2 linked regions of the Canis lupus familiaris genome follow. The protein of the gene in region 1 purifies or fractionates together with the protein of each later gene. This does not show direct contact. Links are inferred from orthologs where the notes say so. Each region holds a gene or a part of one and is shown in the gene's direction. Other genes may lie near its edges.

Region 1 (8,745 bases):
CGGTAATAGGAAGATAATTAAGTTCTGTTTGAGTTCATAAATATTCTAGCAGTACTTCCACTTCTTCCAGAATAATGTCCAGACTCCAGGGCTGCAGAGAAATCCCTTCTCAGTATGCTTCCCTCCAACCTTTCCAGCTTTGGCTCGTCCCACCCTCTTACAGCCAAAACCCTAGGCCTTCCTATGCCCAACACAACCTCCACCTTCCCTCTCTGACACCAGGGCCTATGCTCAAGCTTGCTCTCCATCCTTTTTTGCAATGCTCTTCCCTCCTATTTTTGCCTGTTAAAATCCTACCAACCCTGTAGGCAGAGATTTCTTAAACTCAATGCACAAAAGCACTAATCATAAAAGAAAACACTGAGCTACTACACTACATTATAATTTAGAATTTCTGATTATCAAATGACACCAATGCGAGACTGAAGAGGCAAGCCACAGAGCTGGAAAAGATATTCCTGAAGCCTGTATCAAAGAACTCCATATCCAAACTTCATAAAGAACTACAAATCAGTATGAATAAGTAGACAAAAAGCCCAATTTAAAAAGTAGGGAAAAGACTTGAACAAGCACTTTACAAAAGAAAACACTGAAATAATTAAAAATCATATGAAAAGTGCTCAACATCAGAGACAATGCAAGAAAAGACTGTAATAAGATACCACATTTATAGCCAAAAGAGCTAAAGTTAGAAAGACCTCTAAGACCCTGGTTGGTTTTTTTTTTAAGATTTTATTTATTTATTCATGAGAGACAGAGAGAAAGAGAGGCAGAGACAGGCAGAGGGAGAAGCAGGCTTCATGCAGGAAGCCTGACTGGGACTCAATCCTAGGTCTCCAGGATCATGCCCTGGGCTGAAGGCGGTGCTAAACCACTGAGCCACCCGGGCTGCCCAAAGAACCTGTTTTGACAAGGATAAGAGTCAACTAGAATTTTCTTACGTTGCAGGTGAAAGGGAAAATGATACAAACACTTTGGAAAACTGACATACTGTTGCTGATCATATGCATACTGTACAAGCCAGCCATTCCTCTCCTAGAAATAAGTGCAGTCTACAAAAAGAAACCTATAAGAATGCGCATTGCAGCTTTAACAAAAGCCAAAAACTGTTAACTGATAACATAAATACCCATCAATAGAACAGATAAATATTGCTAGATACACACAATAGAATACTAGTCAGTAATTAAAAAAAAAAAAAGCTGCTACATACAACATGGATGAATCTCACAAAAAAAAAAAAAAAAAAAACACACAACTGATGAAGAAAAAAAGCCAGGCTCCTACTGTACATACTGTATGATTACATTTAAATGAAATTCACAACAAAACTGATTTATGGTAATAGAAGTCAGAATAGTTATCGGGATGGGAGGATGCAGTGCTGATTGGGAAGGGGCACAGGGGTGCCAGAAATGTTCTATATTTTGATTTGGGGGGTGGTGACACAGATGTATACAAATGTCAAAACTGTGCCCTTCCTGCATGTCATACCTCATGAACAAAAAAATTTTAAGATAAAGTTTTTTTAACAGGAAAAAAAAAAATCCACCCATCGTTCAAATTCAAATGCCACCTCCTCCATCAAGTTTTGCCAGCTGGATCTGATCTTTCCATCAGAACCTCTGTAGCATTCTGATGACCTTTCCTTTATGACATTTATTGCAGTTCATCTTGAATCTCAGCAGAGTCTCCTTTTTTTCCTAACTAGATGGTTATCTTCCTGGAGGCAGTGACAATGCCTTTTCACCCTTTACCGGAAACCTGAAAAGGCTCTTTGTTGAATTACATGGAAGGAAAAATTGGGTGGGTGCCCAGATGGGTGAAAGGGGGACGGGAAGAGGAAGGAAGGCCTCGGAAAAGAGATAGGAGATGTCCAAGGAAACCTTAGCTTACGCTACAATTTTACCTAGTTCCTGAAATCACATTAAATGTCACCTTGAGCAACAAATAACAAATCAAAACACTAAGTCCTTCCTAGACTGAAGATAAACAAACATCACACTCCTTCACTTACAGGAAATCCACCAAAATGAATGCTTACCTAACCTCTGGGTGTTTCAACCTGGATGAGGATACTTCACTAAGGAAAATAATAATCACACAGCCATGCTGCTAAAAATATCGCCACCTCAGTGTGGTGTAAACAGCCCAAACTGAGGGTCAGGAGACTTAGAGCCGAATTCTAACTCTGTCCCAAGTTGCTGTAACCAGTGGACGATCGCTTCGCCTCTCTGGGGCCTCAGTTTCCTCGTATGTAAAACAACAGAGGGTGGTTTGGCAAATTCTCTTAATATCCCTTCCGGTAGGGAGAGTCTGAGTATACGATCCATATCTCTCCCAGCCCAACGCAGGAGCACACCAGAAACCCCTGCAAAACAAGTAAAAGGCGCCCCAGACCAACAAACAAGCACGATTTAAAGGAGTCATTTTATCTTCCGTGGTTTAATCAAGTGTTTTTGTTTGTTGTTTGCAGCCTTACCATGATTTGCAGGAGATTTCTGAGTTCCATGTAAACAGATGTTACCTCCCTGTGGGCTGTCATCCTCTTCTGAGAGTTAAGGGGGTCTTCCCGCCCAGTTTCAAGTCTCCGAATTCAGAAACCCCCAAGGCTGAGGGAAGGTTTACGAATTTGCGCACACTGCGCGGCACACTGGAGTCTAAGTTACAGAGGAACAGGGTGCAGGGAATGCTGGGATTTGTAGTCCCCGGGCCTCTTTGTTGCGTGATGGGATCTGTGGTTCCCCCGGGCACTCCCCCGGAATGCTGGGAAATGTAGTCTCTCTCACATCGCACAGGGCAACCCGCCGTCATTTCAGCGCCCTAGTGTGCCCCGCGGAGGGAGCGGGCCCCTCGAGCCTCTGCAGATCTGAAGCCAACCCTCCGCTGGGGCAAACTCTAGGCAACAAGACCTAAAGAAAAATTTGTCCTACGGGACTTCCCGGGGAGGGCCCTTCCCACTGACGCTCGTCGTCCCCCGGCGAAGCCGCTGAATGTTTCTATTGGCTGCTCGGGATGCCAATCGGCGAGGAGGGCTTTCCATTGGCTTTGGGGCGGGCGCTCCGAGGCTAGGGGGAAGGAGAAGGGATCAGGAGCGGGAGCTGAGGGGAGGGAGAGGCCGGTCCGGGTCTGGCCGCTGCCGCTGCTCGCTGGAGGTCTCCAGGCCGCGCTGCGGCTCCGTCCTCGGTTCCTGGGCACCGTCTGCGAGGCTCCGCCGGGCCAGCGTGGGAGAGCCGCGGGCGGCGGCCGCCGCATCATGTCAGCCAAGGACGAGAGGGCCAGGGAGATCCTGAAGGGCTTCAAACTGTATCCGCCCGGGAGTGGGGCGGGGCGGGGCCGGGAGGACTTGGGGGGCGGCCGCTGGCGGAGGAGACGGGCCGGGGGCGGGGGCCGCGCCTGCTGGGCTCGGGACGGGAGCGCGGCGGGAGGGGACGGAGGGGACCGAGGGAACGGCGTCCCGGTCCCCCCGGCGGGACCGGGTACTGGAGGCGGGGCAGGGGGCGTCCTGAGGGAGGAAGGAGACGTTGCCGGGAGCCGGGGGCTGGAGTGGAGGAGCCCCTGTCCGAATTGGGCTGGGAGACGCGGCGGGCGTCGGAAACGCGTGGCGGTGAGGCCGGCTTGGGTCCGAGCCTCGGCCCGCGCCCGGAGGCCAGAAGGGGGGCTGCGGCCCGCAGGGAGGGCCGAGGGGCGCGGGGGGCTGGCCTCGCAGCCCTGCAGCCCGTTTGGCGGGAAGGCCCCGGGGGAGCAGGGAAAAGTGACTCGGAGCGAGTGACCTTGGGTGGGACAAATGCAAATGCTTGTGCTGAACTCTCCCGGGTTCCCCCGTCCCCCCCTCTACGCCACCCCCTCCTTGTTTCCACAACTTCTCTGCCTCACTTGTGGCTCCTTCCAGGGCTGGAGCAGAGAGGAAGGTGGGCCAAGAGAAGCCCGGGATCCACCTCATCTTAACACTCTCTTGGCCTTGTGAGGCACTGGATGGTGGCAGCTTCTCTCTCAGCCTTTCACTTTTCTGTCCAGCGAAGTGAGGACCCTGCACTCGAGCGTGAGATGCCTTGAGGTGTTTTGGTTTTGCACCGGGACTCCTGGCAAAGGTATCTGCGCGCTTGCGTTTGTGAGGTTCACGCGGAGACCAGGTGGAGCTGTCCAGCAATTATTTGATTACTTTGGGGACACGGTAGGATTTAGCAGGATCTAGAAATCATTGCCCCAGGCCTGGCCTGTTGTGGTGCCGCTTGTGCAACCTTCTTTCTCTCTTTAACGTATTAGGAAGCCTCGTGTTTAAATGGAGTGTCTGTCTGTGACCATAGGATGCGGATGAAAAATAGGCAAACCTGGACATTCCAATTTCACATTTTCCTGCTGAGCTTAAATCTCTTTTTACATCCCGTGCGTACAAAATGGAACGTTCTCAAATTCTTCTCTCCGTGAAGTTGTAGTCATCACTTTAGGTCTCCCCCCACCCCCCCAAAGGAGATTTAGTGAAGCACTGTTCTCTGAGCTGCCTTTGTGTTTTCACGATGCCCATTTCACCGCTGGAAATTTTAATTGCTTTTCACAGTCAGAAAGCAAGTTGGTAGTAAATTTTAGAACCCAAAATGCAACAACAACAACAACAACAAAAAAGTTACAGGACATTTTAGATATACAAATGAAAAGTTTCAAATGGAAGCTGATCTGCTATGCTTCTTTTGAAAAAAAACGGAAGGCATTATACACTAGGCATAAGGTCATTCGTGGTAAAGTTTAGTAAAAGCCTCTTTTTATAGCTTCGTGTACCTTTCGGTGTCTTTTTTCATAATGGCACCTATAAGTAAATAGGGATGGCTGAAGTCTTAGAAAAGCTGTGACATGGATTTTATTTTTCCCCTAAGTAATTTGTATTGTTAGTTACATGTATACTGTAGATAGTAAAATCAGAGACTGGGGAATTGAGAGATTTCAGAAGCAACGTTTTTGGTCCAATTGGAATTAACATACTGCTGAAAACAAGAAAGAATCTTTTTAATGGTTTTCAAACAAAGAAACTTCTTACCTCAGTCTGGGCTCTTGAAGCTGTTGAGAAAGAGGTTAAGGGACACATGTGGAAAAGAGTAGAAATCATCATCAGGTGAATTAACCAGTTCAATGATGACGTTAGTGTATTAAGAAACAGGCTTTCAGAGAAGGTTTGACCTGAGCTGATTAAATCTCAAGGGAAGCAGCCGCATAAAAAAGTTAGCATGGGAGCAAGAGGATGCTCATCCTCTGGTAGCCTTTATTGACATCTGAGGATTAAGAGAGAAAGGAAAGGAGTTCTAGAATTTGCTACTACCTTCAGGAAAACACAATCTTTTAGTAAAACAAACTGCTTATTGTCCACCTTTTTTATTGGGTGAATTGTTTTTCTGAACTTTCATTGAATCTGTTTCTGTAAGAGTTTTTTTCTACCAAAAGAAAGCACCATTAGAGTCTCCTACCAGCGATGTTGACAGTGCTCAGTTCCACATTGACTCTGTCTTTTATATTTTTGCCAATTTAGACAAGTGATACCTTATTTTAATTTGTATTTCCCTGGATATCTAGATCCCTGGACAGGTAATAGAGCATAGTGGTTAAGAAGAATTCTGGACTGTAGAGCTGTTCTGTGTTGGAATCCCAGCCCTACACTCTTGGTTGTCCCTGAGCAACTCATTTAACCTCAGCCTCAATTTCCTCATCTGTAAATGGGGTTAAAAATAGTACTTATCTCATAGGGTTGTTACGAAGATTGAATGAGTTGATAGCTGAAGCATTTAGAAAAGCACCTGATGCCTAGTAAACATTATATATTAGCTCTTATTATTGTTAGAGAAGTTGCAAAATCTTCTGTTTGGCAGTTCCTTTTCTGTGAATCACTTGTTGATTTTGTTTTTTGCCCATTTTACTATTGAATTTTTTACTTACTGGTTTGTGTGTGTGCCTTAATATCATTTGCCTGTTCTGTATGTTGCAAATATTTTCCATCAATATATTGTTCATCTCCTTTTTAGTTGAACAAATTTTATTTATTTATTTATTTATTTATTTATTTATTTATTTATTTATTTTTAAGGATGTTATATTGAGAGAGAGCATGAGCATGAGGGAAGGCCAGAGGGAGAGGGACTTCATCCCAGGACTCTGAAGACAGATGCTTAACTGACTGAGTCACCCAGGCCACCCTGTTGAACAAATTTTAAATTATCATTTCAAATTCATCAGCATTTTCCATATGGCTTCTGCATTTTGTGTCTTAAAGATTTATTTCTTTTTTTGAGAGAGAGAGGGCACATGGGCATGCACATTCTCCACACACACATGGAATCAGGTGGAGGGGCAGAGAGAGAGAGGGAGAGGGAGAGAATCTCAAGCAGACTGGCTGATGCAAAGCACAAGATGGAGCTCAGTACCACCTTGAGATCATGACCTTAGCCAAAATCAAGAGTCCCCGATGCTAAAGCAACTGAGCCACCCAGGTACTCCTGTATTTTGTGTCTTAAGAAGACCTTCCTGACCTTGGGCAAGTCACTCAACTCCCTTTCCATCCATTTCTTTAATATTCAAATGGATAAAAATCATAGTATCTACTACATAGGTTTGCAATACAGATTAAATGAATTGTTATAACTAAATAAAACTAGACCTTCCTTATCCTAAAATTAAATATTCTATGTTTTCATTTCCACCTGAAATGTTTTTACACAAATGATATGTGGTAGAAATCTAACTTCTTGTGCTGTTTTAAAATGGTATTTGGGGCAGCCCTGGTGGCTTAACTGTTTAGCGCTGCCTTCAGCCCAAGGCGTGATCCTGGAGACTGGAGATCCAGTCCCACATCAGGCTCCTTGCATGGGGCCTGCTTCCCCCTCTGCCTGTGTCTGTGCGCCCCACCCCCCCCCCCGCCCATCTCTCTCCCCATCTCTAATAAATACATAAAATCTTTTTAAAAATAAAATAAAATGGTATTTATTTTTTCTGTTACATACTCTAGCCACCCAGAAATGACCTTTAAAAAGTCTTATTTATTCATGAGAGACACAGAGAGAGAGGCAGAGACACAGGCAGAGGGAGAAGCAGGCTCCATGCAGGGAGCCCGATGTGGGACTCAATCCCGAAACTCCGAGATCACGCACTGAGCTGAAGGCAAATGCTTAACCACTGAGCCACCCAGGCGTCCCACCTTTTTGATTTTTTTTAATGTAGTCTTCCAGTGTAGCTAATGTATTTGCTTTTATAAAAATTAAATCATAAGCATTATTTCTTAACTTATTTTTTCACTTAATAATAAGTTTACCATATTCATAATTTCCAAAGATAATTACTTTTCATTGCTTTCCATGACATAGATTTGTCACAGTCCTCTTACACAGTGTTCTAGTGTAGTCTGTATAATGCACTGTTTTGCCTATTCAAACTGCTCTTCCTCACCACAAATATAGTTGACGCTTGAACAAAACTGGTTTACATACAGGTCCACTGACAAGAATTTTTTCAGTAACTACAGTATAGAGTATGGTTTTACAGTATTGTAAATATGTTTTCTCTCATGATTTTCTTAATAACATTTTTCTTCCAACTTATTTTATTGTAAGAATCTGGTACATAGGGCAGCCCGGGTGGCTCAGCAGTTTAGCACAGCCTTCAGCCCAGGGTGTGATCTTGGAGACCCGGGATGGAGTCCCACATCGGGCTCCTTGCATGGGGCCTGCTTCTCCCTCTGCCTGTGTCTCTGCGTCTCTCTCTCTCTCTCTCTCTCTCTCATGAATAAATAGGTAAAATCTTTAAAAAAAAAAAAAGAATATGGTACATAATACATATATAAAATACAGGTTAATTGACTTTATATTAGTAAGTCTAGTCATCAATGGGTTATTAGTAAATAAGTTTTGGAGAAGTAAAAAATTAGACATTGATTTTCAACTGTGAGAATAGTTTTAATATATACATATTTATAGCTATATACAGCTTTATTAATATCAAGAAACTGCAGGCTACCATAAGAAAAACTATGCTTTTATAATTTTATTATTTTACTCCATCTGGGATTTGCTTGAGTCTAAGGTATGAAGTAGTGATTTAACTTTTTCTCTGATGATTAGCTAATTGCCCCTATTTACTTATACTGCAGAAGTTAATATAATATCTAGAAAATAAATGACTGCCTACAGGGGCCCCTGACTGGCTCAGTTGGTAGAACATGTGGCTCTTAATCTCAGGGTTGTGAGTTCGAGCCCCATGTTGAGTGTAGAGATTTCTTAAAATCTTTAAGGAGCGCCTGGATGACTTAGTCAGTTAAGCATCAACTCTTGATTTTGGCTCAGGTCTTGATCTCAGAGTCATGAGATAAAGCTCCATGTCTGCTTAAGATTCTGCCTGCCCTGCCTCTCTCTCTCTCTCTCTCTCTCTCTCTCAAATAAATAAGTAAAACCTTTTAAAAATAAAAATAGGGATCCCTGGGTGGCGCAGCGGTTTGGCACCTGCCTTTGGCCCAGGGCACGATCTTGGAGACCCGGGATCGAATCCCACGTCGGGCTCTCAGTGCATGAAGCCTGCTTCTCCCTCTGCCTATGTCTCTGCCTCTCTCTCTCTCTCTCTCTCTCTCTCTTTCTGTGACTATCATAAATAAATAAAAATTTAAAATAAATAAATAAATAAAAATAAAAATAAATGACTGCCTACAAATCCATAAAATAAACGTTTGACTCAAAATGGACAAAGGATATGAACAAAGAGTTCACAGAAGAAAAC
Region 2 (8,918 bases), on another chromosome or scaffold:
GATGCCATTAGTTGGAATTTGTAGCGAAGGGCTTCAGTTCATCTCAGAAAGAATGTTCTAATAACCAGGCTTATCTGTCCATAGTCCAAGTTGCTTCGTGAGGGTATAAACTTGCATCTAGATGTATCCCAACAGGGTCTGGATTATCATCTATTAGCAATGCTAGAGAAGATATTTTAAAATTAGGTGGGAAGGTGATAGTAGATAGCAGTCAGGTTTATCCTATGTAAATACTGTTACTTCTTCATATCTAAAGAACCCCAATCTCCTGAAATTTCTAGAATTCATCTTTAAGCATTTTGTTAATATGTTGGTTTTATGACCACCGAAAATGATTCCCTTGGTTTATGATCCTGTTGTGGGTATTTTACATAAGCTCCACAGAAACATTTTCCTTTTCTGTGGATCAGCTCTGTTTCTCTTTAGAATGGTAAAGCACTGTACCAGAAGCTTTCAGTGCTAGCATGCTCTTCTACACAAGAGGAATATTTTTAAAAAAATATTTTATTTATTAGAGAGAGAGAGAGACAAAGAGGGGGGAGAGAGAGCATGAGCAGGGTGAGAGGCGGAGAGAGAGAGAGAGGGGAACAAGCAGACTCCCTTCTGAGCCGGGAGCCCAATGCAAGGCTCAATCCCAAAACCCTGAGATCATGACCTAAGCTGAAGGCAGACTTCACCTTAATTGATTGAGCCACCCAGGTGCCCCCTTTTTATCTTTTTAATTTACAAATATGGTTCCAAGCCTTCAAATCTGATTTTCAGCCTGGAATCTTGCCATAGATGTATAAAATATGATCACTAAAATAATGCAATTGGTTTGTTTCACGTAGCAGCACTGCCCAGGAATGAATCCGTATCCAAATAAATGATGTCTCTCCATCAAAGCAGTTATCTAGGAAAAATTTTTTTATATCTAGGAAATTAACGATAGGAAAATGCAAAGTTTTCTTCTAAATTTCCCTTCATATGAAACCACACATGAAAATTGGTCTTATGACCTTAGTTAGCTAAGTCTAGTTTTGGGGCAAAGTAGTTGTGCCAGTTGGGATGTTTCTATCTTCAGGTAATAGAATACAGAGCCAAAGTGCACCATTATGAGAAGCCTGGAAGGCTGTGGCAATTCCCAAAAAATGACAGCAAGGGAAGTGAGGGGGAGATATTTCTTTTTGCATCTCTCCTTTTTCATTATTATTATATTTTTTTAAAGAGAGAGAAAGCATGTAGGCGAGGGAGGTGGGTAGAGAGAGAGGAGAGAAAGAATCTTTTTCAAAAAACATCTTATCTATTTATTCATGAGACAGAGACACAAGCAGACTCCACACAGGGAGCCCGACATGGGACTCGATCCCAGGTCTCCAGGATCAGGCCCTGGGCTGAAGGCGGCACTAAACCACTAAGCCACCAGGGCTGCCCAGGAGAGAAAGAATCTTAAGCAGGCTTCATGCCCAGATTGGAGCCCGATGACCTGGGGCTTAATCTCATGACCCTGAGATCATGATCTGAGCCAAAATCACGAGTCTGATGCTTAACCAACTGAGCTATCTAGGTACCCCTCCTCTTCTTCTTTTTCTAATCAGGGAGGAAAATCTTTTCCAGATGTCTCCCAAAGGAGACATCCTCTTCTGTCTCATTGGTCAGAGCTGGGTTACATAATCATTTCCGTTAAGGACGAATGTAAAAGCAAATTTCTGCAATAGTAACTCTCTTCATGGACAAGAAGGGGTTAAATCTGTCTTCATGAGAAACAGATTCCTCAAACTAACATTTACAAAAAACTTTGCAAAGCCCTTTCAGGTACTTTTTCCTGCCAATCCTCGTTAACACACATGGTAATGTAGGAAGTTGTTAGTGGTGATGGTTGGGAGTAGGGAAAGTACTGGGAGCTAATAACAGTAATAGGGTAGCTACTATTGTGGACTAATCCCACCTAAAGATGAAGAACCTAGGCTCTATGCATCGAGACCTTTATGGTGAACATGATAGCGCTTTCTTCCCCTAAAATTTAAAAGGTACCAAATGCATGACACCACAGTTATGTGCGATTGTGGGCTGAGTAGTCATTAGTTCCTCCAGATGTCCCATTTGAGAGGATTTGTAGTAGTAGAGTTACATGGCCCTGAAGTAAGAACCAGAGGCCAGGTATAGTTTTAATATAGGAACCCCCCCATGTTACAGGTCTGTAGTGAGAAGAGGTTCACGTTTGTGCAAGGATTGCTGGTTTTTCGAGGCTTGCTGATCAGGTCTTTTTTGGATAAGTGAAGTGCATTCCAATTTAAGTATTAATGGAGATTAGTTTAGCTTAATGTCTCATGCAAGATTAATAATTGTATGTACATGCTTATTTGCATGGGGTGTATCATTAATGTATGACAATACATGGGGGTCCTGCTGGCATACATAATATATACATGCTTATATGCATGGGGCATATCATTAATGTATAATAATATGTAAGGAGGAGAATGAACTATTAATGTATAATTAAATGTAATCTACATATGAAACCTGTCTAAAGTAACATGGCTAAGAAGCAGTGATGCCCCAACATGGACCATATCTACTGACAATGGTGAAATTGATAATTACATCTGTTAATAAGGCATTGTGCTTTACATTGATTACTTCATTTAATTTTCAACCTGTGAAGGAGGTAGTACCTCTATTTTATAGGTCGACTGTCACACACCTAGCAAGCACAGGTACCTGTGATTAAACTCCAATGCTCCCTCTAGGGCTGGGCATTTCTTAAAACCGTACTGCTTTCCTAGTCTACTTCCTACATTCTTTCCAAGACCACTGCCTCTGAGCTAAGCTTCTTGTGCCTTAAGCTTACTCATCTGTAAAATGAGATAATTCTACCTACTTTACAGGGTTCTCATGAGGAATGAACTGTGATCATCCTTGTCATCAACAAGAGACAGGCATAATAGGTTGGCATTATTATTGTAGAATTTATCTCACTCTGTTCATTTTTTCTGACATCTTTTACCTACTGTACTGGACCGAGATCATCCAGGACAGCAGGTCCTACATTTTGTGGGCTCTGGGCCTCTCTACACTCTTAAATGTTTGTAGATCTCAAAAAGTTTTTGTTTATGTAAGCTATAGGTCTCATTACTGCTTTTAAATTAGTATTTAAGAAATGTTTAAACTTGGGCAGCCCGGGTGGCTCAGCGGTTTAGCACCGCCTTCAGCCCGGGCCTGATCCTGAAGACCTGGAATCAGCCCCAGGTCGGGCTCCCTGCATGGAGCCTGCTTGTGTCTCTGCCTCTCTTTATTTTTTAAATAAATAAAATCTTAAAAAAAAAAAAAAGTCTTAACTCTGTAACAAGCACCTGCTTCCTTAACTGCCAGAGCAATGACATCATAGACATCATGCATCCCCGGGAAAACTTCTACTCGTGAGAGAATGAACGCGAAGAAGGCAAAAAAAAAAAAAAAAAAAAAAGGGTAGTATTATGAAAATAATATATATATTTTTACTTTATTGGAGCCCCCCCCCCAAGGGTTCTCCGGATCACACTTTGAGAACTGCTGCTCTAGGTTACTTGCTTGATGAATGAACCATCCAATTCTGTTGTGTCCAGAGAATCCACGGTTTGAGACGTCAAAACCAGAGGCAGAGCCAGAGCTCTGTTAAACTGAAGGCCACTCAAGGTGCTTTCCCGCAGGCGGACAGGTCCTCAGCAACCTCCGCGGCGGCCACGCTCCTCCCGGGGCGCGACCCCCAGGCGCCGGGACCAGCTCCGGGAGCCCCTGCCGGGTGCTGCGCGCGCTGCACCCCGCTTCCCGGGCGCCCGGAGACAGGCCCCGCCCCTCCGCCTCTCCTCCTCCTCCCGGCTTCCATGGCAACCGTGGCGCGCGTCCCAGGCGTCCACGCCCCCCCGTCGGGCTAAACCATTCGCTTCAGTGGGGGACCTGCTCAGGGGGTGATGGAAACACGGAATATGATAGAACATCCGAATGCCACTCGGCTCCTGTTTTCCTACCTGGTTACAGTGCTACATTTTACTTTTATTCTTCGCAGCCGCCCCTGCGGGACTAACGCCCGTGTCGCCCTGCTGGGCTCGAACGCCTCCCCCATCCCAGGCCGGCGAATGGGCCGGCTTGCCAGGGCGGCTCGCGTCGGCGCGGGTTGGCGCAGAGGCGGGGGAGCGCGACTGACGTAGCGCGCGGGGGGCGGGGCGGCGCGCGGGGGGAGGGGCGGAGAGGCGGGCAAGATGGCGCCCGGAGAGTGATTCACCCTAGTTACGTCCAGCGGCCGCTGAGACACCCGGGCGGGGGGTCCTGCCCCCACTGCCGCCCGTCCTCCTCTCCTCCCGCCCCCGGAGACCCCCCCTACCCTTCCTCCCTCTACCTCGGGGTGGGGGTGGGGGTGGGGGTGGGGGAGCGGGCCTGGTTCCCGGGACACCATGTCGGACTCGGAGGAGGAGAGCCAGGACCGGCAACTGAAAATCGTCGTGCTGGGGGACGGCACCTCCGGGAAGGTCAGTCCTCCAGCGGGCCCGCCGTCCCCGGGCTGCAGGAACCCCGGCACCCCCCGCCTCCTCCCCGCCGCTCGGCGTCGCCTCATTACCGCCGGGGCCGGGGCCGGGGCCCGCCAGCCTGGAGGTGGCCTGGGGCCAGGCATCCAGTCGGCGCCGGTGAAGGCTGAGGAGAGCTGTCCAGCTCCCCTTACATTAAAAAAAAAAAAAAAAAAAAAAAAGGAAAAAAAAAAAGTCACTTCCCACCTCCCCGCCTGGATCGCGAACTCCTACTTGTTCGAGTCGGGCCAGCATCGCCCTCCGGGAGGCTCCCCAGCTCTTCGCCCCCGGGGACTGGCAAGGACCTGCCAAGGCATCTCACCCCTTTTTACTTTAGTCCAGGGCACACTTCGCCGCCGCCCCCCCCCCCCGCCCCCGATGCCGGGCCCTCCCCCTCCCCCTCCCCCCTCCGGCCCCTTGACGGCTTCTCGCACCTCCCCTGCGCTGGCAGCTCGCGAGGACTTGGCTCCGGAATCCCATTCCCTGGGTGACCACTGGGGCTCCTTTCCCTAGCGGGTCGGGACATTGGAGGGCAAACTCGCTGACCTCCTTGTGCTCCAGCGGTCAGGTGGGTATTGCCAGGGATCGCCTCCAAGGGCGAGGTGTGCAAAAATACACGTGAAACGTGAAAACCCACGTAAAGGTTTCAGGACATGGTTGCGCGCTCAGTGAACGCTAGTTGCTGTTTTTATGGCATCGTACCTGTTGGTCCTTGCTCCTGGCACAGCACCTGTCGGCACAAGCATTCATTCCGCAGATACCCGTCGAGCTCCAGCTAGGGGGCTGGATGCTGCGGGTAGAGCTGCGCCCCGGACGGCGGGGGGTCCTACTTTAGGGCCTGGGGGTTGGTGCCGGCTGGGCTGAATAAAGGACACTGAGTGCCCGGGGCTCTCCGACATCCAGGCTGCTTACATGCTGGGCTATAGGGTCTTTAACTCTGGGTTGTGGAGCTCCGGAAATGGGATCCTCATCTCTGGATGCTGGCTCTTTGGGGGAGGGTCCGTGGGACCTCGGAAGGGTCAACGACCGCCCCCCCCCCCCATGGAGTGAAGCGCCTCTGCCCCGGGTGTCTTCACACCTGTCGCTTCTGTCCCAGGCGCCAACACTGCTTCTGGGAATATTGCTAAAGTCCGTCTCCTTTTCTTCTTCCCTCCCTGTTCCCAGCCAGAGTCCCCAGAAGCGCAGGTTGTTGTGGTGACCGGTTTCCGGCGTCACGATTCCCGGTTACTGGTGCAGCCTGGACCGTGGTTTCCGTGGTGACGGCTGCTCCTTGCGTCTCCCTGGCGGTTGGCCCTTGCAGAGCCGCTCCTGTCGTGGTTTCTGAGACTTGAGATCCTAGGGCACCTGGGAGAGGGGTCCTTCGTGTGCAAAATTTGGAGCATTCTGTTATTTCCTTCTTGCCTTCCCGGAGGATATTTTGTCACTGCTTTTTGTTGCTGAGGGAAAGCAAACCTAATATGCTCTGATGACCTTTAAAGGTTTTGGGGAAGCAACTTTTTGAATGGTTCGGTTGTTTTAGATAAATCACCATTGTTTCTAACACTCTTATTCAATAAAAATTTTAAGGTGTATTTGCACAGTATTTTTATTATTCGATTTTCTTTCGAATACCTTCTGATTTTTTCATTTCCTAAATCCTTTTACGGTCAACTCATAAATGAATTTGTTTTCTGCTTAAAATTACCACGACGATCTATAGCACTGATAACGGTTGTTAAAAGAGACAAAAAATTGCCCATTACCCTACATTCTATCATAATTCTTTAAGCTTCTGTTAATTTCTTTTTTTCTCCCAGTATGTATCAGTTTCATACATGTGTTACTAGTTGAAGTTTGTTCATCACCTTGTATCTGGGTTTTTTATTTAGCCTGTTCTATGTTTTCTTCTCTTTGCTAATTTAGTGTGAATAATTGTGGGTTTTCATCTGTCTAAAATTCTGTCTAGTGTAGGACAAGACATGATTTCTTTCTCTTCCATATTGTTGAATTAGGACTATCATTCTGCTTAAAAGGGTAAGAGTGATAACTCTCTATGGGGTTCTGATTTAGTCTTTATCATCTTAACTAATCTCTTTTAAAACTGTAAAGGCGTTTTCTGCCAGAGATTTTCAGATACCAAAGTCAGAAACCTAACCTTTTTTCATTATTTGTGTATCAAGCTTTTTTCTTTGCCATACCCTATTCAGCTCTCAAGTTATTGGCAGCTACCAACAGTCCCATTCTATTTCCTTTACTATCCTTATATGAATTCAGCCTCTTTCATTTCATTCTTATTTGTATCCTGATTGAACTCGTGGCTATATTTTCTAGCATTAGTTTTTCTTGTCAGTTTTAACTTAATGACATTTAAGTACATGTTGACTTTAAATACACATTGACGGGAGCAATCGAGTATTGAGATAATCATCATTAACAGTTTCTCCAAGAGAAATTTTGCTCCTCCTCCTAGTAACATGTGTTTCTGTTTCTTTCTGTTTTGATTCATACTTTTGATTTTATTACATATTTCTTAAGATTTTTTGAGGCAAAATATTCTTTCTTGGTCTTTTTTTTTTTTTTTGTATTAGTAAATGTAGTATGGTAAAAATTGTTAGCAGGAGCTCACCAAGCAAAACAATGTAAAGGATCAGATAAAGATGTTTCAGATATGGTAGATGATTGTTCACCTCACAATTATTTAAGAAGGGTATTTATATAATGACTTGAGAGAAATTATTGAATGTGAAAGAGGCCAGAGAGTCTAGAGTATTGAAGAGGAAGTGCCTACCACTGATTCAGTTGATTCTCTGTTTAATTTTTATGGTATGTCTAGAAATGGTATAAGAACCCATTTTAATATTCTGTGTTCCCAAGCCCCCTGCTTTTGACAGATTATACTTTATTCTAATCAAAAATCTTAGTTTTATGTTTGCCTCAAAAGTGTGAGGGTAAGGCTTTCAGAATCTCAAAGTCCTATTTCCAAAAAAAGAACCCTTGGATTTTTAAAATATTCATTAATATAAAAGTACTGAACTCCGAGAACCTTACGTGAAAGTGAAAAATTACCTTAAATGGCACTATGCTGTTACTTGTACCTTGAGTTTCTCTTTGTCTTGTAGAACTTTATCTACCATCTCTATATTAAACATTTTGAAATATCTGTAATAAATAGTGGCAATTATTTTTCTCTGTAACTCTGAGCCTCTTAACAGAAGATTCTGTACCCTAAGTTAAACAAGTTCAATGGCATAAATAAAGCTAAATGAAACCCAAAAAGTTTTAAAAAAGAATGCTTACCTTTTTTTATTCCAGTCTCTTAGTTTTTATATTATTGTTACATGCTTCAGGAAGCCAAAGAAATATTCATTTGGGTGTAGTGAGTTTATTTCTAAGTGCTTAGGAGAACATCTTTCTTATGGTGCTCAATAAATATTTGGCAATATATCTCAATTATTACAAATGCTGAATATTTAATAAAAGAATTAGAGTTAGGATGTACAAATTGTCATCTGTGTGAAAAATATGGCTTTTGTGTCCAAAGGAATTTTAGGTTTTTTGTTTGAAGGAATTGAAATTTGGCCAAGTTTTCTTTTGCATTGCTGTACTTATGTCATAATTAATTATACTAAGCTATTTTGGAAATTTTATTTTAGTTTTCATTATTTTGGGAATTGACATCTAATTTTAACTTTTAAAATAGAAAAGGGCTATTTTCACTTGGGTAGTCTTTCTTAAAGAGCATGAAAGCTTCTCTTGAAGCTGCCTTTCTTCTTTTTGGTGAAGTTTACAAATAGTGCATTTCAAATGTTTAAGAAGCTTTTAAGTTATTATTTCAGTTGTTACCAGAATGATTTTAATTCTTCTTTGATAGGAAACGGTACTCCTGAGTTTTGAATACAACTTTATTAAAAAAAAAAGTGTAGATCTATGTATGTGTGTTCTGGTTATAGTATTCATTAATCTTTATGGTTGTTGGATGGAAAATACTTACTTTGCTAATATTAGTCTTAAAAGTACTGACTTTTAAATTTTAAAGATAAATATTATCTCAATCATACTGTAGGATCATTTTCATTTAACATCTTTAATTTAGAGAAAAATTAGACATTTAAAGATACTTTTTTTGTAGGGAAAAAAGAAAAATTTTATGAATAGGTTTTCCCCTTTTAATTAGTACTTCTTATTTTTGGCTGAGAGCACAGATATTCAGAATATTTAACCTCAGACATGAAATTTAGAGTTCTTTGAAATTTGTGTTAAACTGATTTATATTGATATATAGGATTCAGATCTTTAGTTGTGTTGTTTTACTTTTCTTGTTGATAAATCTCAAATTCTAATTTCTAGCAAGGAGAAGGAGCTTGACTATCAAGGGATTTAAGGAGATCTAACAGATTAGTCTTTTGTTCCCACTGA

The links.
Region 2: the proteins of PDE6D (region 1) and RAB28 purify together in Homo sapiens (affinity purification with mass spectrometry; 3 studies listed by BioGRID and IntAct, with this or other methods). This does not show direct contact. The link is inferred for Canis lupus familiaris from reciprocal best matches to the Homo sapiens genes PDE6D and RAB28.

The regions. Positions count from the first base shown.
Region 1 is NC_049246.1:43,814,036-43,822,780, reverse strand, and holds the start of PDE6D (retinal rod rhodopsin-sensitive cGMP 3',5'-cyclic phosphodiesterase subunit delta), read left to right. Parts: upstream 1-3,197; 5' UTR 3,198-3,256; coding exon 3,257-3,306; intron 3,307-8,745. UniProt on the Homo sapiens protein: Promotes the release of prenylated target proteins from cellular membranes. Modulates the activity of prenylated or palmitoylated Ras family members by regulating their subcellular location.
Region 2 is NC_049224.1:67,142,213-67,151,130, forward strand, and holds the start of RAB28 (ras-related protein Rab-28), read left to right. Parts: upstream 1-4,182; 5' UTR 4,183-4,412; coding exon 4,413-4,487; intron 4,488-8,918.